Linked DNA regions of Rhinolophus ferrumequinum. The protein of the gene in region 1 interacts with the protein of each later gene in a biochemical or structural test. Links are inferred from orthologs where the notes say so. Each region holds a gene or a part of one and is shown in the gene's direction. Other genes may lie near its edges.

Evidence for each region. The genes of interacting proteins can lie anywhere in the genome.
Region 2: the proteins of CUL3 (region 1) and DCUN1D3 form a complex in vitro, tested with the Homo sapiens proteins (3 studies listed by BioGRID, with this or other methods). The link is inferred for Rhinolophus ferrumequinum from reciprocal best matches to the Homo sapiens genes CUL3 and DCUN1D3.
Region 3: the proteins of CUL3 (region 1) and UBE2M form a complex in vitro, tested with the Homo sapiens proteins (2 studies listed by BioGRID, with this or other methods). The link is inferred for Rhinolophus ferrumequinum from reciprocal best matches to the Homo sapiens genes CUL3 and UBE2M.

Annotation. Positions count from the first base shown.
Region 1 is NC_046291.1:12,007,682-12,015,431, forward strand, and holds the start of CUL3 (cullin-3), read left to right. Parts: upstream 1-4,735; 5' UTR 4,736-5,165; coding exon 5,166-5,231; intron 5,232-7,750. UniProt on the Homo sapiens protein: Core component of multiple cullin-RING-based BCR (BTB-CUL3-RBX1) E3 ubiquitin-protein ligase complexes which mediate the ubiquitination and subsequent proteasomal degradation of target proteins.
Region 2 is NW_022680357.1:16,190,675-16,198,021, reverse strand, and holds the start of DCUN1D3 (DCN1-like protein 3), read left to right. Parts: upstream 1-4,330; 5' UTR 4,331-5,629; intron 5,630-7,347. Other genes in the region: LYRM1 (LYR motif-containing protein 1), read right to left, coding at 2,651-2,809. UniProt on the Homo sapiens protein: Contributes to the neddylation of all cullins by transferring NEDD8 from N-terminally acetylated NEDD8-conjugating E2s enzyme to different cullin C-terminal domain-RBX complexes and may play a role in the cell cycle progression by regulating the SCF ubiquitin E3 ligase complex, after UV damage.
Region 3 is NC_046298.1:50,990,696-50,998,134, reverse strand, and holds the start of UBE2M (NEDD8-conjugating enzyme Ubc12), read left to right. Parts: upstream 1-4,422; 5' UTR 4,423-4,929; coding exon 4,930-5,038; intron 5,039-6,093; coding exon 6,094-6,188; intron 6,189-6,312; coding exon 6,313-6,351; intron 6,352-6,465; coding exon 6,466-6,569; intron 6,570-6,869; coding exon 6,870-6,933; intron 6,934-7,017; coding exon 7,018-7,158; 3' UTR 7,159-7,439. Other genes in the region: MZF1 (myeloid zinc finger 1), read left to right, coding at 121-1,667.

The DNA of each region.
Region 1 (7,750 bases):
ATAAATAGCTTATTGAAGACATTTAAGATAACGCTATTTTTTACATTTGTTGACTGCTGTATTTATAATTCACATAATTATTAAATCTAGCGTAAAGTTTAGACTATTTACTTTTATAGCTCTTTGAATCTGTGCTCTATCTCAACTCCAAAATTAGCTTACTTCACAAAGACAGAGATGATGACTTATAAATGTCAACATATACTTTCTTTGTCTCAAATGAAAGCAATACATATTCGTAATTGTCCCCTGGAGATTTCTTGATACAGTTGCTGTTACCAATAAGAGGAAATTCTTTTTCATCAAAATAAAATTACATGGATGCAATGCCTATAATTTTCAATTGAGGATTTATGTTCTGCTAAATTAGGTTAGTTGGTTGTATATATAAATATTTTTTTTTCCAAAATATTAATTTACTGGATAAATGTGGAATAAACAGAATACTGTCCAGGCCAACTAGGAAATTTCCAGAGCTGCCAGTGAGATGCTTTTATTTAGCATGATAATATGATGAAAAATTGAGATGGGTTTTTATAAGAGACATTTTAAGATTTTTCTTTAATTCAAGATGTAACTTTGTATCATATCCTCATATGTTTTAGATGCTTCTTGTCTTGATGATATATGTAGGGAAAACAGTAAGGACAAACTAGAAAAGGGGTATGGAGAAGACAGACAGTTTTCATATAAGTAAGTGTCTGTGGTTATATTTCAATGGGATACTCTTCCAACACGTCATCTTATAAATCACATACAAATTCTACTGTTCTAAATATGTACAAATCTAATGGCCTACAATACATATTTGTATTATAGAAAGAAAGTAGAAGACCTAGCCCTTACTTTCCAATAAGTGATAATATCTATAAATGTTCCCCTTCCAATTTGAAAATATAGTTTTCCCTAACTCGGTCTTTGTCCATTCAAAACCATTGAACAGGTCTTTCTAATTGAATTGGTAGACTGTCAGCTGTTTTAATAACCAATATCAGCACAATCAAGTCAGCAGGTCTGATACAGTGATTAAAGTGGCTTGGTATCCTGGATACCTAGAAACTCATGGCCAAGAGGCTATTCCCTTTCACTGGCTTCTCATAGTCCGTGCTGTCCATTTCTAGACTGAGATGTAGAGAAGGGGCTGTCTCACCCAGCCTCCCAGCTTTGACTGCACGTGCTCCATACAAATAAATGGAAATGTGGTTACTGTTCTCCTGTGTCAGGACTCTGTCAGCATAAGTAGGAATACTAACCAGCAGACATGCAACATCTAGTGAGTTCCTATTCCAACACTGCTTTCTCTGCTAGATCAGGTGGCATTTGGCAGAAAAACTAATATCCTGACAGTTAATTTGCTATTTGCAAGTCAGGGAATACCACTGGGCATAGAATAGTCTACTGCTGCTTTAGAGAGTATTTTGTATACATTTTGAGGATGCTGGTTTTCCTAGGAAGAAAAAAATCTGATTTCTGGACTGGAGTGCATAGGAAGTTATTGCCACATCCAACTTGGGTCTGTGGTTCCAAAATTTGAGATGTGAAAAGGAACTCCCATGTTTCCCTGAAAAAAAGACAGCCAGACAATCAGCTCTAATGCGTCTTTTGGAGCAAAAATTAATATAAGACCCGGTCTTATTTTACTATAACATAAGACATAACATTTACTATAACATAACATGTTATATTACTATATAAGACCGGGTCTTATATTAAATTTTGCTCCAAAAGACGCATTAGAGCTGATTGTCTGGCTAAGTCCTAATTTCGGGGAAATACGGTATATGTTCTGCGATGGCAGGTCTTATCTGTCTTATTCACTGAGAGCCTGACATATAGCAGTCATTAAATAAATATTTCTTGAATAAATGAAGGAATAACTGAACAAATAAATGAGCAGTAGGTTTCTTAATGGCAGTGGCAGACAAATTCATTTTGAAGAGTTTTTCTGGGTCTTTGTGGTTAAAGCCTAACGGAAGACATAGTTGATAGTGATTCTTTTAAAATGCAGTTAAATTTTGCTTAAGCAAAACCAACATGAAAATCTGAGCTCAGGAAAGAAATTAATTAAAGGGTGATTATGTGCATCACAATTATATGGAAACATGCTTTAATGCAGGGAGTTCCTAAATGTAAGCCCATGATGTTTTCTCACATTCACAGTGAAATGAGAAATACCAGCTCAGTATATTGTTCCTCACAAGCTTAAATTAATCAATTTAAGAAACTGTCCTTTATTCAAAAATTGACCTTCCCCCACTTATGCAGTTAAAATACTTAAAAAAAAAAAAAAGATAATGGACCCAGTTTAATGCTAGTTATTCCTTTTTAATGCCCTTACTTGCCAAAAAATATATTATTGTTTTGTGAAATCCAGGTGTTGGAGACTGGCTCATTTTTAAAATAAAATTCATTTTATAAAAGCATGAAAGCTTTCTTTTTTTTTTTTTTAATAAACTTACATATTGAATAAAGGAAGATACCGTATTTCCCCAAAAATAAGACCAGCTCTTAACTTTTGCTCCAAAAGACGCATTAGGGCATATTTTCAGGGGATGTCTTATTTTTTCATGTACAACAATCTACATTTATTCAAATACAGTCATGTCATCTTCTTCTGGAACATTGTCACAACGTGTTGAATGCGTCCTTCTGGCTGACAATCTTAACCGGGGCTTATTTTCGGGATAGATCTTATTTTCGGGGAAACACGGTAGTGTAACCTTGGCCTTGGCCCATGATAACAGCCAACAGGTGTTGAGTGGCCACTCTGTCCTGAGCACTGCTCTCAGCTTTTAAAAATGTATTAAATCATTTAAATTTCATAGTAGTCCCAGGAGGAAGTATTATTATTATCCCCTTTTTACAGATGAGGAACTCCAGGTATAAACAGTCAAAGCCTTACCCCAAAAGATACATAATAGAGGTAGTAAAGTGATAGAGCTAGGAATCAAACCAATGGGTCCAGAACATGTATGTATATTCTTACATTACAAAGAAACTGGGCCACAGGACAGTACCGTCAATAGAAAAACATTGGTTGTTATTTTCTAATGATTATGGAAATACAGGCTCAATTAGCATACAGATTATAAACTTCTATCCAAGACTCATGTTATCTTACGTTTAAATCTGAGCTCCACCCATTCTTACCTTATCAACCCAGTTCTTGATGACCTATTTTTAGCTTCGGTGTTTACACAGACTTTTTTTTCCAGCTACATCCTCATTTCTTAACGTTGTGTTTTGATTAGCAAATACCAAAAAAAAACAAAACAAGAAAATATATTTCCAAAATGGGGCATTTCAATCAAGTAGGGGATGAAAGCACACACTCAAATTTAGTCATCAGGATTAAGTTAATTTAGGGCAAATTCAACCTTATTGTCAACAAATAGAAAAGTATATTTCAGTTTAGTTATTAAAAAATATAACATTCCCAACTTCCAAATGCTACATAAAAGTATTAAAACCCCAGCTTCCAAATGTAGATACCCATCCCAACAGTAGGTTCTTATTTAAAATGCAAAAATCACAAATTTTATTGGGAACTCACATACATATTTCTCTGCAGCATCAGAAATCCCAATATAACATCAATTGGACCAAGAGGTAAATTAGAAAGTAAAATTCAAAACTAATGAATCACACTAGACCTTTTGACTATAATGAAAATAAAAAATTCCAAATTTGCAGCAAACTGAATCAAAGACAATAATTTTGGCTTTCAAAACCTACAACACTCTTGGTAGTGGTAAAAATGATTAGGTAGGTGAAAGGTAGCTTCTATTAGGTTGGTGCAAAAGTAATTGCGGTTTTTGCAATGTATACATATTTTTTAACGTTTTAAACCGCAATTACTTTTGCACCAACCTAATATTCTATCTTCTATTTAACACCATGCACCAAAATACTGCACTACATTAAGGGAGTTGTCATTTTATTTCAATGGTATCGAAAAAGAAATTTTAACACTTTGAAGTCCTGGGTCCCTCAAAAAATATCAGGGATTCAAGACATCCTGGAGCTTCTTCTTCAGTTTAAGGAAACTTTATGGTCTAAAATCTCCACCTCTCAGGCCTGCGAGTTGGGGTGTGCACATCCAATCCGAGTATCTTCTTAAGCATACAGGACCCTAACTCCTGACTCTGCAGGTGACTCCTGCACAAACTTCTTTCAACTTTCTAGCTTCTGCTTAAGTACTCATCCCTAGTCCACATGCCCTAGAAAACCACAGGAACCAGTTCTAGAACGTAGTTACTCACCTGGCACCTCACGCTCCTCCCCGAGACTGTCCTCCGGCCCCAGCCCCAGCCCCAGCCCCCACCCTAGCCCAGCCCAGTCCAGACCGAACCAGCCCACTACAATCCCGCTCTGCCTATCAGAATTTCCCCCGCCCACTCGGTCCACGTGACCAGGACCCCCGACCCTGCTCCGCGCTCCACCAATCATCAACCACCTCTGACCAGAACCGGTCTCCGACGCTCCCCTTTCAAAAAGGAAGCCTACTCCTCTCGCCCTCAGCCCCTCCCCTTTCGCACCTCCCCGCCCAGTTGGCCCCTCCCACTTCCCCAACTCCTCGTTCCCCTTCTCTCCTCGCGTTGCCCCCTCCGCTGCCGGGCTTCGCCCCGCCTTACCTGGGAGTGCGCGCTCGCCTTGTTCTCGCGAGATCTGAGCGTCCCCCCCCCGCCGCGGCCAGCCACCTCCCCCTCCCGTCCTCCCACCCCCCTCCCCCCAATCTCTCCACTCTCAGGCTCTCCTCCCTCCTTCCTCCCCCCTCCACCCTCTGGGCCGGATCTCGTCTCGCTGAGGCGGAGGAGGAGAAGGAGGAGGAGGACGTTCGGCCTGCGCAGTGAGATGTTTGTCCGTCGCCGCCGCCGCCGCCATCGCGGAGGAGCGCGATAAAGGGAGCCGAGCCGAGCCGGGCGTGAGGGGGGACCCCGCGGAGCCACCGCGCCAGCGCAGTTCCCCAGCCAAGCCCCAGCCGCCGGAGCCTGAGCCGCCGCCGTCCCCGCCGCGGCTGCCCAGGGGCCGGCCAGCTCCTCAGCCCACCCCGGGGGCCGCACCGCCGCCCCCAGCGTCGCCCCTCGCCTGCCCGCCCGCCTTAAATGTGACACCGGCGCCTCGGGGTGCGACCCGAAGCCGCCGCTGGGGAGGGGACGAGCACCATGTCGAATCTGAGCAAAGGCACGGGCAGCCGGAAGGACACCAAGATGCGGATCCGGGCCTTTCCGGTGAGTCTCTACTCGGCACTCGGGACCCCGGGGCCGGGGGCCCGCCCGAGAGCCGCACGCGAGGCCGGGGCTGAAGTCCCCCAACAGGCCGCAGGCCCGTCCTCCCCTCCCCCACGCCGCCGACCGCGGGGCGCGAGCCTCCCAGGCAACGGGGCGGCGCGGGGCCCCTGCGCGGCCGCCCTCCCGGGCCGTTCCCGGTGCCCGGCGCCGCGCCCCCGCCCAGAGCTGCGCCTCCAGGCGCTCCGCGGGCGTCGGCTACGGCCGGGGCCGCATCGCGGGTCCCAGCACCTCCTCACGTTACTGGGGTGTAGGCCCAACCCCTAGCACTCCTCTCCTCGCTGGGTTCCAGAGACTCCCAGTTCTGCGGGGATGGGGACTGGCGAAGTCCTCCTTGTATGGGGCCTGCGTGTAACTTTTCACGTGTGGTTTCGCTGCGGTTTAACAAAATAACCCGGCCTAAAAGACAAACATTTCGGATGATGATGAAGACTATGTTCTCTCGTCCCATTCTCAGGGAGGGTTATGCCATCAACCTACCCCCGACACAGTGACAGTGGTTCCACGTAATGCTCACAGTAATGCACTAATACCATCAAGTGTATTTACGGCATCTCTCATCCACAAGCTTTCAAAGCACTTACACATTCTCTTGTGCAGGAATTGCCTCCCCACCCGTAGGAGGGTCAGGAGAAGCAAGGGAGAACACATTGGACAGTTGGTTCTCAATTTCTTAGTCGTAGAACCCCAAAAGAACGAGTAGTCACCACCCTGAGTTCCTTTTCTCTATCGGTTTTAGTGACAGCAGACATATTCTGTGTAGAAACTTTCTTTTTAGCATTACGTTGAGTCATACGCTTGCGGTGTGTAGTGTATATGGTATAACTTTGGATGTCAAATCTGATGCAGGTAGGCAGTGGCAAGCAATTAAAATATACTGTTGTAACAGAAACTGGACATACTTGCTCATGTCGCTACAGTAACGAGTATATGTCAGGATAGACAAACTAGTAATTGAACAGAAGATTTTGTTTTAAAACAGTAAAACTAGAGAAAGATCTTGGATTTTCTTTCTTAGAATCAAACATACCTTGTGAGGAAGGAAAGGGGGAGGAGGGTTTGTACTCCTTGAAGCATGCTTTTTCTAAAGTGTAGTTTGCAGTGAAGATACACTTTATTAATATAATCGTCCTAGTTGAGTAAGAAACCCACCCAAGGAACTTGACCTCTCTGAATTCTTAAAACTTAAAAAAATACATGTGATGCAGAGTTCTGAAATTGTAATAACAGAAGTACTAATGTCAGTGTGTGGAAACTTCCGGTTTTATGTAAATAAAGGTAGGATAGACTCAGCAGAATTAAGTATTTTGATAGTGATTAAAGGGATTTTGAAGTTTTAAAATTTTTTCCCCTAAGTAAATGAGAAACTACAGAGAAAGTAAGAAATGTTGACAAAAGACCACTAATGAAGTCCACTAGCGTGTTTTCTCTTAGAATGGAACAGTGAACTGGGTTTATGAATTTGTGAGGTTAGTTTTTCCTACAAAATCAGATCTGACCATTTTTGGCAAAATTTAGAATTCAGTATTTAATTTTCTACAAGTTTTCTAGGATGAGTTTGCTATTCTTGGGGTCTGAGTTCTAATGATTCAGATTATTACTAAAATGTGGAATAGCTCACATTTGACATCAACTCATTTATGTTAATATTCTGATTAACCAGTTATACCTTTATGTATTGTCAGCTCTTTGATCTTTGTAGTTTGCCTGTTCCTACCTGTTTTCACATTCCTTCCTTCCTTCATTCATTCAACAAATACTGAGTACTGTGTACCAGGCTCTGTTCTAGGGGTTTGGGGTATAGCAGTATAGCTTGAAAGACCAGGATCCCTGCTTTCTGGATTTTGTATTGTTGGGAAGAAGTGGTGAGAGAGAATTTCATTATTCCTTTAGCTGAGGAGATAATATGAGATAGGTTAGGACATAGTACTGAAACTGAATTTTTTTTTTAAATAGCAATATGATTATACGCTAATTTGGATCCTTTCTGTCTCAAACTTGTTGCCTGATAACGTTTTTCTAAAATCCTTGTGACTAGTGTTTGATATTTAGTAGTTAATATAGGCTAATTTTTAAAAGCATAAGACTTTTTATTATATCATTATTGTTAATATCATTCATAAGTAGTTCTCAGTGAACCAGTACATTTTTTAATGTATAAATTTTTAAGTCATACTTCCTTGAGCCTTCATTAAAGATAAATACATGCCTCAGAAGTACGGTATTTCCCATGGTAAATGTTTGAGTTCTTGCAGACCTTCTAAATTTTTCCTTTCTCCACGTTAGTGATCTTTTACATAACTATAATCTACATAGATTGCTAGTCAGAAGTAGTAAATACGCAGTATTCCATAAATAAAAAATATTGTGTATGTATGTACATACTTACAAATATTGTATTTTTACAGTACCATTTGGTTATATAGTTACTATAATTTAAGGGAAATTATAGTTTAAACAAG
Region 2 (7,347 bases), on another chromosome or scaffold:
GCGGCACCTCTGGAGCAGAGGAAAGTTCCAGGAAGTGCAATGCACAGAACCCCAGCTGCGTCCCTCGGGGCAGAGGCCCAGCTTTCTGACCTTCGTGCTTCTCAGAAGCTGTAGCTCTGGTGTCCACCTCGGGAACAGATGTCCCCAGCCCTTCTGGTTGGCCCCTGAGGATTCAGAGCGATACACAAGACACCTCTGGATGATCATCAAGCTCTTATTGCAAGTGAGGTTATAGGAACCTACTTGTGTCTGCATGAGGGAGCAGGGAGAAAGAAGCCCCGATAAGCTATGCTTAAGGCGCTGAGGGCTCCTGGGGCTCCAGCTGTCCCCCTGAACAAGTGTGGGGTACAGTTCTCCCAAGTCCAGTCATTCAGAGGCTGCCTGCATGGTTTTGCCACATCTACATACCACCTATATTAACATTCAACGTTTTCTTTAAATGGACTCTCTTGTGAGCATAGTATTTGGGAAATTGCCGGATACTCTTTTCTTTCTAACACACGGTAAACAAAGCACAGAACTTCCAACTAAAGGTCATGTAGCCCCCACTATCTCACTCATGTACCATCAGCAGCACACACGCCTCCTCCTGGCTCGCAGCACACTGAGCCAAGGCGAGCAGAGGCCAAGGAAGGAATGATGAGCCATAAGAAAACCCCAGGGCGTCGTGAGCAGTCCTCGGGTGGGCACGTCCTCCTGTGACATCCCCAGCAGGACGCTGGCCATTGTGAGGCCACCGTCCCTGCCTTATTACCTGGCAGAACAACTGACACATGAAGCTACAGAAAGGGCCCAGTGGTATAAAATCCACAAGCGCAGGCACTGCTGCAGGCTGCTCCACAGGAGTTCAGGACAGGGCTCACGACGGGATCAGGTGAGGACAGAGCAGCGTGGGAGGCTTCCTGGAGAAGGTCAATTGAATCCAATGCTCGGTCATTTATGACAACCACAAGGCAGGACCCAAGGGATACGCTATCAAATAAGACATTGTCTGAGCCTGAGGAACTGACAGGCGGGTCGGGGAGACCACACGACATACATGAAACAGACAAGGAAAAAGTATGACCAGCTCCTCAGGGGTAGGTATAGGTCAGTGGTCTGCAAACTTTTTGATCACCTACTCCTTTCAATAAATATTTCTCAGGCCACAGATCCATATATGTATTTATATTGATTTGTACGTATACGTTCAGTAAGTGTACTAATGTCATTATAAATATAGACAAAACAGACATTTTTAAAGGATGCAATAGAAACAGAAACCGCACTTGCAGGACCTATTTCCAGTCCTCCGAGGGCTGTGTAAGGTCCCTGCACGCAGGTATGGCCTGTCTGGGGGAGAGTCAGAGCCGCTTCCCAAGCAGGGTGGCCCTCGTACAGCGGGGAGCCTTCAGGGATCCCAAGAAGGCAGAGGTGCTGGGGTTCGGGTTGCGAGGGTGGGGGTCTTTTGTAGCACTTATCCCAACTCTAATTTTACGTTTCTTTCCATCTAACTCTGAAATACCTTTGAGGGACCGTGCTGCTTTTGCTCATTTTATATTCCCAAGGTGTTGGGCGTACGGTGGGCGCTCAGATACCTGTGGAGTGAAACAATGAGAGCAGAGCATTGCAGAGCAGTGGCAGGCATGGTGACAGAAATAGGCAAGTTGGGAAGGGGACGCCTTCTTGTGGGAAGACGAGCTCTGTCTTGGGGTACGGGGTCCTCAGACGGCTGGTGAAAAGCCAAGGCTGGGTGTCCCGATTTGGGAGCTGGAGCCAGAAGGTGGCTGTCTGCCCCTGGGGCCTCGGCGCAGAGGGTTGACCCTCAGAGGACCCCACAGCTGGCAGGAGGGTGTGGAGAGAAGACAGGGCCAAAAAGGAGACAGAGACGGGTCAGAGAGGAAAAAGTAGAGAGAGTGGATTGTCAGGAAGTTTCACGAGGGGAACAGTGACAGCATTGAATCCATGAGATCAATGAGAAGGGGGCAAGGAAAGCCAGGGGCTGAAAGCCTCTTTCCGTGCGAGTTGCCAGGCAGGCTTCCAAAGAGCTGACAGCTAATGCTTGATGGTTTACCGGGATGAGTCACACCGAGCCTCTCAGAAATGGTGTTTGGCTCCCTGGTGTCTGGGTGTGCAGTTCCATTAAACCAGTTCATGGGAGCACTAGTTTACCCAATTCTCTGGTCCCAAAGGGCAGACGCACTGTGCTAGCCAAAGAGGCTGCAGTTCACAGCTAAGTATGAGGCAGGCCTGTGTCTTCATCCTAATCTCTTCCCTCTGAATGGGTTTGGACTTGGAGGCTTTGAATAGTTTATAAATTGAAAACCAAAATTGACCTGCGCACCTCCTGTGGCAGTGTCCGGCGACAGCACATCATGTGACGAACTGCGCCTCCCCTGGCAACTCTCACTGGCCTCACTCCTGTCACCTGGCTCGTGGGGTCTCCTGGGGACACAGCCACTTGCTGGCTGGACCAAGACCTGAAATGAGTGAAGAGAGAGCCCTGGGCCGGGCTCTGCTTCCCATCAGCTGGGCCTCCGGCTCCTTCCCTTCCTGCCCAGACTCTGCCACTGTGACTCACGCTGCTCCGTCCTCTCCATTTGGGACAGACAAGAAATGAACAAATGCAAGACACTGCTCTCCTCTCGCTCTCCAGCTGAGGCCTACTTACATTTTTGTTTTTCTGGAACAGTGTTCTGGCTTCATTTAATATGTACTCTTTTTCTTTAATGGTGTCTTCCATCTGTCCTGACGACGCCTGCCATTTCCTCGCAAGCCTGAAAATTCGGCGGTAGAGGCCAAGAACTTCCTGTCGCGTTGCTGTTGTCATCTTCAGACCCACCAAAATAGAAGAGGGAAAATGTGCATAAAAATTCACCGTGACAATAGGCAGCTAGCCAGATGCACCTTTTTTTTTTTTTTTTTTTTTTAAATCAAGCTCTTTAATTAGAAGGCACAGATAACTGCCTTCTCAGCAAATCCGTTTGGCAGCATTGCCGCATGGCCGTGTACGAATACCAGCTATCCCTTGGCGGCCTCGTGTATCACCTCACGGTTGAGCTGCTCCACTGTACTGTTTGCCATGATGGCCACTTTTACAAACATGGCAAAACAAAACCAAAGCACACATGTACTGTTCTTTGAACCGGTAAATTCTTAGGAAGGATGCTTTTCGTGTGTATTCTGGTAAAATTATATCCCTAACCTGAGTGTCTAGGAAAAGGCATGTGTTGAATAACTGAATTTTCTAGTTAAGTGAGAACTTGAAATTAATGCAGGTTGCAAACTCACGTTCCTCCAGGGTCTGGCAGGTAACAAAATGAGGGAATTTGACTGGGTGGGGACACTGGCCAACTGGAGAGGACATGCCCCCTTAAAAGGGGACAGTCGCTACTCAGCCCCCGCCAGCCGCTGCCATGTAGAAGTGAGGGCCTAAGGGTGCCAGATTTCATGATAGCTTCACAATAGGTGGCAGTCCAGATTTTTAAAATATAAAATCTCAAAAAAGACACAAATTCATTTTTGAAAATGTGAGTACGATGAAGCCCAAAGAAAATGTGTCTGCAGGCTAAGGTCCTCCCAGAGGGCGTCAGGTTGCAGCCTCTTAGTTCAGCATAGCCTCGTTGAAAATATTTTGCAAAACTGTCAGTTCACTGCCTTGTGCACATGAGAACTGTGTAGTAAGTATAACTGGAAGTCTTTGTGATGGCTGAAGATCTGTGGCCCCTCTGGGTTTGCACGCTGAAACATCAGCTTTCATTTCAGAGGACTTGGCCAAGTTCCTGACCGAAGTATGTTCCATAAAGCTAACTGTATTTTTATAAATTAAATTCCTGTTATTTTTATTTTCATTATGAAATACCTCAGATACACAAAAAGATATAGAGAATAATTAACAGCCATACATTCACAATGGACCTTAGGGAATAAATTATATATACAGTTGAAACCCCCACTGTACCTTTTCCAAATCGAATTCCTCTTCCTCTCTCCTAGAAGGAACTGCTATCCTGAATATATCTTTCTCACACGTCTTTACATTTCACATTATATAGTATTGCTTAGCAACTTTAAAAGAACTTTATAAAAGGTATTGCCTTTCTGCAACTTCTTTTTGCCCATATTTGTACTGTTTCCCCAAAAATAAGACCTAGCTGGACTATCAGCTCTAAGGCGTCTTTTGAAACAAAAATTAATATAAGACCGGGTCTTATTTTAATATAAGACCAGGTATAATATAATATAATATAATATAATATAATATAATATAAATACCGGGTCCTCCCGGACCAGGGCAGATTATATTAATTTTTGCTCCAAAAGATGCATTAGAGCTGATGGTCTGGCTAGGTCTTATTTTCGGGGAAACACGGTAAGGTTCATCCATGTGGTTACACACAGCTCCAGTTCATGGGTTCTCACTACTGCAATTCAGCCCACACTGTCTGAAGGTATCTCATGTATTCTTCTGCTGATGGACATTAGGGGTTTCCCTTTTCTTTTACTTACGCAACAACGTTAGCCTGTTTCTTTACTACTTACTTCTACAAGAAATCCCGGAAAGTGAAAAAGCCCCACTACGGGAGGATTCTGATTGGTCAGATTTAGGAGAACGAATCCTGTACTGCCTTTAACAGATGGGCAGGCCGGGAGGACCCGGGCACATGCAGTGAGTGAGCAGCAGGGCCGGGCCAGGCATGGGGACCCTCCCCGGGAATCCTGGGTTTTCCTCAAACAGGCTCCTCAGGATCTGGAGGTAGGTGCTCACTGCCCTTTGGGAGCGCGACCCATTTCCAACCCGAGCGGGAGGGCCAACACATGGAGACTGTACGCTTCAGGAGATTTTGTCCTGAGTTCCTGAGAATTCGAGCAGCTAAAGAATACAGATGGGAGCTGTAAGGAGGTGTGTTTATCTGTTAGGTTGGTGCAAAAGTAATTGCGGTTTAAAAGATTAAAAATAATTGCACGAACCGCAATTACTTTTGCACTGACCTAATAGAAATTCTAAGTTGCTGCAAGGAAACTGCCTGACAGAGAATTCCTCTTTCGAATATGACTGTCCCTCCTACTTCTCCTGACCCTGGTGACTTTTCTTGAGCAATAAGGAATGAACCAAGGCTTAACCATTTGATGATAAGCTTGAAAGCACTAGTTCCCCCAGTTCAAAAGTCGACAGGACTAAGCTTAACCTCCAACACCAATTCTGATGGCCAGGATGCTTCAGAGAAAATGCTTAAAAGGAATTCATAAAAACCAAGACAACCGCATGTTTTGTGGTTCATCGTTAATAAAAACCCACATGAGATGATGACATTTTCCTGGTAAGGAAACAGGTTTCTGAGTTTCTGGCTCTCTCTAGAATTCCATGGTTTCATCTGAAAATACGTGAGTCAGTTCCTGTGAGGGGCAGGGAGTCTGTAACTAACTTGTATTAACGATTGCCTCACTTCTCTGTCATTAACAGACGAAACTGCCCGGACTGCATGGCACTGGTGAGGAGTGAAGGAGGTCTGGCCTGTGAAAACAGCAGCAACCTTCTGCAAAGTCGGACTTTAATTGGTTTCCTTCTACTCTTAGAACCTCCGCTTCAGATTGTAGCTGATCATATACCATAATCGGATACACAAGCCCTGTAATTAGGGCACTCAAGGTAACAAGCAGAACTAACAATTGGTACTTAATAGGCCTATTTTCAAAACACTTTAATTAACGTTTACATGTTTGGAGAAGTAATCCTGAAAGGGAGATAAGTGATGTCTCCCTCTCCAACATCAGGTGACCCAGAAAACCTAAATCCTGAAGATTTCCAGGGGGAGGGGGTCTGAAGCTCTGTTCCCATGATGTACTACTAACAGGCCTAGCCAACCACACTTCTTCCCAACTCTGCGCAAAGCCAGGAAAAAGATGCTTTTGTTCTTTTCTTATTGGAATCCTTCAGGTCTCAGAGAGAAGGAATCATGTTCTCTTACCGTAGGGGTACATCCCATCTGTTCCCTCTTTCTAGAAGGCTCTCTTGGCTCCCTTGCAGCCTTCAGTTACCAATGAAAACATGGAGGTCTCAGAAAAGCCTTTCCCGCTCCCTGCTGCCCTCACCACGTGCATCAAGTCAGGTCTCTCAGTTGAGCCCTTCCGCGGCCCTTGTATTTCTTGTAGCACTTGACCACGCAAGTAATGGGTTGTTAGTGTCCGTCTTCCCCGAGCCTCGCACCTTGTGGACAGGAACCACACGCACCTTATTTACTGCTGACTTCTTGGCACTGGTGCTCAACGAGTGCCGCTGTTGCCCTCCTTCCATCATTCATTGCACACCAGCAGCCCCTTCAAAGGAGGCTGTGCATTTGGGGGGCTGCTCTGCCCTTCCCTCCCCACAGCAACCTGTCCCCAACACTCCAAAGGGAGCTGACATCACAGAAGGGACAGCAGGCCTCATTACAGGGCTGCCAGCCTGCAGGCCAGACTCCAGCTGGGACCAAAAAGGGGTCCCGTGGCCAGTAACCTCCCAGGGAGACCCGAGCATCAACTCCCAGCCGGGCAGGTCAGGGTGGGGAGTCACCCCCCAGGCCTGTAACTTCTTTAGTGAGAGGCTTATCTTTGCCGTAAGCAGCCCTGTCCATTGTTTCTGTGCATCTCGTTTTGTGCAACACACCTTTGACATAAGTGGGACCACCCTCAAGAGAGCACCTGATCTTGTTAACTACCCTGTAGTCCAGTCCCCGCCTTGCTTTCTCCCAGTCCCCGCCTTGCTTTCTCCCAGTCCCCGCCTTGCTTTCTCCCAGTCCCTGCCTTGCTTTCTCCCAGTCCCCGCCTTGCTTTCTCCCAATCCCTGCCTCGGTTTCTCCCACCTCCGTCATCTTCCTTTGTTCCCTCCTTAATTCCAAATGCATGAAAGAAAACTGCAAAACTGTCCCTCTCCATTTATCTTGCTCCCCAGAAATTACCCTCAATGTCTTACATAAAATTTCTACAGGTTTGGACGTTTCTTACATGGACACTTCCCTCCCAAACACCTATCCATCCATCCATCCATTCATGCAGTCAGCATTTATTTAGTCAGTTCACCCCAGAGGCTGGGCACAGGCAGTTCTGGGGAAAGTGATAACCAAGCAGCCATGGTCCCTGCCTCCTAAAGTTTATATGCTCGTGGCAGAGGCAGACGACACACAAGAAGAACAATTTCTGGTAGATATATGTGCTCTCGGAATGAACCAGTCAGTATATATGAGCAGAGGGAGCGGTTATTTGATTGTGGGTAGTCAGTGACATTCGAGCCAGTGCTGAATGCTAGAAAGGAGAGTTAAGAGGTCGGTGAGGTGGTATCGGAAGAGGGGTCAGCAGGAACAAAGGCTGTGAGGTGGGAGCCAACCTCCT
Region 3 (7,439 bases), on another chromosome or scaffold:
CCCCACCTTTGCACTACAGCCCTTCCAGGATGGCGATTTTTGCAAACTTAAGTCAGACTTGGAAAGCTTGTCCCCAGCTTCTCAGTCTCCCTCTTCATGCTCTGTCACCTCCTTGGTCAGTTTCAGGTCCCTCTAGTTCTCACTTCTCCCAGGGCTGGAGTGGTCTGGGCACAGTGGATTCTGTCATGAAGGAGTGGATCCCCTTGTGCAATGCAGGCTTTGCGCTCCAGATGGACAGTGTCTCTGCTGGCTCAGGCACTATGAACCCCCACCTACACATCCCCTGGAACCTCGGTGTGTCCAGCCTCACGGGTCAACTCCGGTCACCCTCCCGAGAAGGTGGCTTCTCACATGCGCTCGTGCTCCCCAGCGACCCGGGAGGTGAGCAGGACCCCATGGACGAGGATCCCTGCCAAGGCATGGGCCACATACTGGCCACTGCCCGCTGGCACACCCCCAGGGGTAGGAGCCGGGGACGGGGCCGGGGCCGGGGCCGCCCGAGCACAGGCGCCGGGGCAGTGCGAGGTGGCCGTTGCGACGTGTGTGGGAAGGTGTTCAGCCAACGTAGTAACCTGCTGCGGCACCAGAAAATACACACGGGAGAACGACCGTTCGTGTGTGGCGAGTGCGGCCGCAGCTTCAGCCGCAGCTCGCACCTGCTGCGCCACCAGCTCACTCACACAGAGGAGCGGCCCTTTGTGTGCGACGAATGCGGCCAGGGCTTCGTGCGCAGCGCGCGCCTGGAGGAGCACAGGCGCGTGCACACGGGCGAGCAGCCTTTCCACTGCGCTGAATGCGGCCAGAGCTTCCGGCAGCGCTCCAACTTGCTGCAGCACCAGCGCGTCCACGGCGACCCTCCTGGCCCAGGTGCTGGGCCCCCCGCGCCTCCCAGTGTGCCCGAGCCACCAGGCCCCTTCCCGTGCAGTGAGTGCCGCGAGAGCTTCGCGCGGCGCGCCGTGCTGCTGGAGCACCAGGCCGTGCACACGGGGGACAAATCCTTCGGCTGCGTGGAATGTGGTGAGCGCTTCGGCCGCCGCTCGGTGCTGCTGCAGCACCGGCGCGTGCACAGCGGCGAGCGGCCCTTCGCCTGCAACGAGTGCGGCCAGAGCTTCCGTCAGCGCTCCAACCTTACACAGCACCGGCGCATCCATACGGGCGAGCGGCCCTTCGCCTGCGCGGAGTGCGGCAAGGCCTTCCGCCAGCGGCCTACGCTCACGCAGCACCTGCGCGTGCACACGGGCGAGAAGCCCTTTGCCTGCCCCGACTGCGGCCAGCGCTTCAGCCAGCGTCTCAAGCTCACGCGCCACCAGCGGACACACACCGGGGAGAAGCCCTACCACTGCAGCGAGTGTGGGCTGGGCTTTACACAGGTCTCGCGGCTCACGGAGCACCAGCGCATCCACACCGGCGAGCGGCCCTTCACCTGCCCGGAGTGCGGCCAGAGTTTCCGGCAGCACGCCAACCTCACGCAGCACCGGCGCATCCACACAGGCGAGCGCCCCTACGCGTGCCCCGAGTGCGGCAAGGCCTTCCGCCAGCGACCCACGCTCACGCAACACCTGCGCACCCACCGGCGTGAGAAGCCTTTCGCTTGCCAGGACTGTGGCCGTCGCTTCCACCAGAGCACCAAGCTCATCCAGCACCAGCGCGTCCACAGCATGGAGTAGCCAGTGGTCAGTGCACCCCGTCTGCATCCACCTCCATGCTGTGCGTGGGATTAGCAGGACAGAACACCTACCTCACAGGGTTGCTGTGCCTGCGATCGCATACATAGAAGCAGGTCCACCTAGGGCCTGACCCCCCCAGTAGGTGCTCAATAAACAGTAGAAGGAACCCTGGGTCTGGGTCTTCACACACACAGTGCCTCCCCACCTGCGTGGGTCCCCCTGCCACCCCACCCATCCACCACTTCCACTGCAACCCTAGGAGAGCCATGTCCCCCTGCAGAGGTGGCTCCTAGCAGCAGCTGTCCTTGTCTGTCCTAGCGGGGTGCCCCCTATACCATGGCTCTTGTACTGTTTGCCCAAGATGCCTTCGACTCACACATCCACATCAAGCCAGCTGCCAGGCGTGGACCTGGACTGGCCCAGTTCTCCCCAGCCAGCCAAGATTATCACATGCAGTATAAGTAGCAAACGTGCACAGCAGGCCACAGCCGGCCTAGGATGTGTGTTTGTAAAACTTGAAACCTAGGAAGACATTTCTTAGGTGTAAAGGCTGGAAGGATTTATCTGGAAATCCACATTCTTTCAGGACTTTACCTCATTCTCCCAAGCCCAGCCTCCCCATGCAATATAAACCCAGTTATTCTCACCCCAACCCCAGCTTTCCAAATCTGTCCACTTCTGTCCACTCCGAAGCACTGCTCTGATCCCAGCCACCCATCTCCAGCCTGGAGGTCCACAGCACTCAGCCTCCCTGCCGGTTCCTGCCCCTCCTTTAAAAAATGGACACTATCTTCCCAGCGTCAGTTCCCAGAGGCTAGCCTAACACCTCACTCCTTGCCCGTCACGTTTTGCCTCCTCCCTGCAGGGCTCTGACGCCAGCTTCCCTCAGGGCCTTTACACGTGGCAAGCCCTGTGCCTCCCAAAAGGCTGCAGGCCCATGGCCTACAGGAATTCTTGACACCCAAACCACCTGTGCCCCGCGACCACTTGGGTGGCTATGAGGGTGAGAAGGAACACACAGATGCACCACTTCCAACCCGCCCCTCTACTTCAGTCTGGCCATGCCCGACCCAAGGGCCTCGCATAGCTGGCATGGTTGAGTCCCACTGCACCGTGGGGAAGCCACGATGTTAGAGACCACAGAAGTCTAGCTTTGCCTAGTCCAGTGTCACTTCTCCAGGGAACCAATATCCTATCCCCAGATGGGCCATCAGCTGATGGGCCTCAGCAACTGGCCTGAGGATGAACACCTGGGTCAGGTTGGCCAATAGAAACTTCCCCCTTGAAACTTTGGCTGGAAACAGCGTGATGGTCATCAACCCTAATGTGGAAATAGCGTTTATGAAAATAATCAAGAGCAGAACAGCTAAGAACAACAGAGAGGAAGGGTTAAAGGGAGAGCTCGAGTCTGGAGGGGACCTCTGAGTCTCAGGACCAACTATGTCTGAACCTTGAGAACGCTGGGACGGTTGCAATTAGCCCCAAACCTGAGCTGTTTGAGGTTTGAGCCCCCATCCTTAGCCCCTGGCTCCCCTCCAGCACTCAGTTGTCACGGGAGTCAAGAAACGATGCTGGGAGTGTGAGGCTGGTACAACCAGGGGGTTGAAGGGGGCATCTGGGTTGGTGGCATTGAGAATGGAAGGGCCGAAAGGGGGAGCGATTACAGAAATACAGCTGGGATCAGTCCACGGAGACCAAGGACGCTAAGGGTGACCGACACTCACGGCAGAGCCTCCGCGGAGGCTGGGACCGGGATAGACGTCAGACCAAGGTGCGATGAGGTGGAGGCGACTCCTTGAGGTGAGGATGGGGGATGGGGCCAAGGTGAGGGCCACGGGCCTGGGCCAGGGCAGGCGGCCGAGAGGAACTTGGCCGACCGTAGCGTGGCCCCAACTGGACCGCCGGGACCATGTCTCCCACAATACTCCGGGAGGGGACGGCAAGTTGTTTCAGAGACAGACGGGAACGTGCCGCGGAAGCCGCCTTCGGACCCGGAAGGGCTGAGCTGCAGAGCCCTGGCTGCCCCCACTGGTCCACCCGGGTGCTGGCCAACCCTCGTGACGCCAATCCTGACCCACCTCACGGTTTCCGCGGTGACAGCCGGAAGTTGCAGAACCCTTGGGACAGGCTGAGCTGTGATTGAGGGGAGGCTGGCCCCGCCCACAGCGCCCCTGCAGGCGGCTTAAGTTCCTCCTGCGCCCCCGCCGGAGCTCATGACAGGCGCCGAGAACGACCCCCACCCGAGTGTCCACCCGCATTACCCTCCAGGGTGCTGACCACTCTGGCACAATACATTTTGTTAGTTTACCTCGACTAGAATCTCCCCGAGCGGGTTCTTTGATTGGATTTAAGATAGAACACGAGGGTACTAGACTCCGCACTCGCTGGGAAACTCCCCTGGCCTCGCCCTGGGATCTGGCCCGCAGCGATCACCATGCCCCTGTCTGTGACCTCCGGGAAAAAACCCCATTTGACCCACCCCCGCCGCGGTCCGCACTAGTGCAAGTGGGAATGGGCCGAGAGCGAGCGAAGCAGCCCGCATCTGCCCCACTTAAAGATGGCGGCGACACCGCCCCTGGCCTGTATCCGCGAGCGTCTCCGGAAGTGACCACGAGACGCCTAGACAAGCGAAAATACTCGAGCCCAGCCGAAAAAGCCCGAACCCTATGCCCCATCGCTGAGCAACGTGAGGCGGGGACGGCGGCGGTGGTTGCGCAGGCGCACAGGGCAGGCCGGGCTCGAAGAGCCGAAGCGGGAAGGCGGCGGAAATAGCCGAAGTGGTAGGGCGCCCGAGGCAGTTGCGGACTTCCGCGCCAAAGCCGCTGCTGCCGAGACTCCTATACACCGCCTCCGCCTCCTTCCACCCCTTGCCGCAACCCCTTCGCGAAGGAGCGAGTGAGCGAGCCGGCGGCGCGTCCCAGACAGCCCGCAGCCGCAGACGCAGCTGGGCCCGAGACCTGAGCGGGCGAGGAGGCGGAGGGAGCGGCCGGGTGGGGGCGGGGCCGAACAGTTCGGAGGAGAGCCGAGTCTGCTCGAGCACCGCCGAGCGAGCCCGAGGCGCCGGGGCAGGCCGGAGCTGGACTACGGGAGCCGACGCGGGACGCGCGGTGGGCGCGGAGCGGCGCGGCAGGCCGGACGGGCCGCGGCAGCAGCGGAGAAGGCCGCGGCGGCGGGTCCGAGTGGCGCGGGCAGCGGCGGGCGGCCGTGTGGCCGGGGTCCCGGGCCCCGCGGCGGCGGCGGCGGCGGCGGCGGCGGCGGCAGGATGATCAAGCTGTTCTCGCTGAAGCAGCAGAAGAAGGAGGAGGAGTCGGCGGGCGGCACCAAGGGCAGCAGCAAGAAGGCGTCGGCGGCGCAGCTGCGGATCCAGAAGGGTAGGGGTCGGGGGTCAGAGCCTGGGGTCGGGTTATGAGGGAACGAGGAGTTGGATAATGTTCCCCCCAGGGTCAGCGATGTCAGATTGGAGGCCATGGATGTGGGGGGTCGGTGGTCAGGCCCTGAGGTGGGGTGATGGGGGAATCGCGTGGGGTAATGCAGTCACCGGGGTAAAAGGGATCAGAGAAGCGGGGCACAGGATGGGGCAGTTAGGATAGTTGGAAAGCCAGGCAGGCGTCTGGTATTGGGGACCGGGAATCTGAGGGTCAGGCGGTGGGGGGGGGTGGTAGGGGGCGGGGGACTGAGAGTCGGGGGGGGGTCAAACAGGAACCTGAATGACAAGCAAAGGAGATGGGGATAGTGGGAGCCACCGATTGGGGATAAGAGTGGGAGAGGATTTCGTATATTATGCTGGAGTCACTGGGAATCTGGGAGTCAGATGGGGTAGAGACGGACTGGGGGTCATCATATGGCAATTTGGGGTTTGGGGTGACAGGTAGAGGAGGGAGGGATAGTGGGTGCCAGGGAGAGTGAGGCTGGGGACTCACAGGTCTGGGGGTCAGATAGGAACATGGGTTTGGGATGACAGGCAGAGGAGAGATGCTGGAGACCTGGGACTGGTGAGGGGATGATTTAGAGTATGGAGGTGCCAGGGTGCTTGAGTTTGGGTGGACAGGTGGGGACAAGCAGGGTCCACTAGAAAGTTGGAGGTCATGGCTGGGTATCCTGGGGTTTGGGGTTATCAGAGACTCTTGGGGGCCACTTGGGAGCGGTGTATTCAGAAGAGTCTAGAGTTTATTCTGGGCCGAGAGCTAGGGCACAGCCACAACTGAAGATGCATATTTGGGGTGTTGTTTTGGACCCAGAAGATCCTGCTTGGAGACTGGGGAGCAGAAAGAGCAAGGAGAGAGTTGGGGATGTGGGGCACAGCCCAGGACAGCCCTGGGAGTCTTGGATGAAGCCATAGGGGCTCTGCTGGCACCTGTACCTGTTCTGAGCACGCTCCTCTCTCACTCTTCCCTCTTTGTTCCCTTTCTCTGCTGTGCAAATCCAGACATAAACGAGCTAAACCTGCCCAAAACGTGTGACATCAGCTTTTCAGATCCCGACGATCTCCTCAACTTCAAGCTGGTTATCTGTCCTGATGAGGTGAGGATACACTCAGCTGGACACCCAGGCACAGTCCAGGGGCTGGTTCCCAAGTAGGGAGACCTGGTTCACCTGTCAGGCCCTGCAGGATGGGGCCCTAACACCTTTTTCTCTTTCCTCACAGGGCTTCTACAAGAGTGGGAAGTTTGTGTTCAGTTTTAAGGTGAGTTCCAGGTGGGTAGGGATGGCTCCCTGGGCTGAGGAGGCAACAGATGAAGCCCCAACCAAGCACTGCCTGGGTACCTATCCACTTCCCCCTCTCTTTTCCTGGAGCCAGGTGGGCCAGGGTTACCCGCATGACCCCCCCAAGGTGAAGTGTGAGACGATGGTCTATCATCCCAACATTGACCTCGAGGGCAACGTCTGCCTCAACATCCTCAGGTGAGGGCGCTGGCCCTCCACTGCTCTACCCAGCCCTATCAGGCCCCCCTCATTGCTTTGCACTGAACCAGTGGCCCTTCCCTCCTCCTGTGGTCTGTGTCCCTCTATCTCTTCATCTCCATGTTTTCTTCCTCATGGCTAGACCTTGGCTTTCTCCCTGGCCTGGCCTACTCTGCACCCTCCCCCTAGCCTCTCACATCCGCACTGTCCCACACCATGGGCCTGACATGACCAGTTCCAGCAGGGCGTGTGGCAGCCACACACTCACCAGTCCCTGAACCTGATGCTCTCTGTCCACAGAGAGGACTGGAAGCCAGTCCTTACGATAAACTCCATAATTTATGGCCTGCAGTATCTCTTCTTGGTGAGTAGGGCTGGATGGGTAGGCTTTGGGGAGGTTGGTTGTCTGCCCCTTGGGCATGTTGACCCCTGCCCATACTGGCCACAGGAGCCCAACCCCGAAGACCCACTGAACAAGGAGGCCGCTGAGGTCCTGCAGAACAACCGGCGGCTGTTTGAGCAGAATGTGCAGCGCTCCATGCGAGGTGGTTACATCGGCTCCACCTACTTCGAGCGCTGCCTGAAATAGGGTTGGCGCGTACCCACCCCTGCCAGGGCCAACAGCCCCGGCATCCCCTGCAAATATTTATTGGGGCCCACAGGTGGGGAGCATGGGGCAGCAAGTGGGGGGAGATCCTGTGCCCTGGCCTTGCCTCCTCTCTCTACCACCCACTCCTAGTTATTATTTTTTTTTTTTAACCACCGTGTGATTAAGGTCGGTTCTGTCTTCCCCCGACCTGCTCAGCGATGGGAAATGAATTGGCTTGTCTAGCCCCCCGCTGGGTGCCGTCCAACCCCCCACTCTGGGCT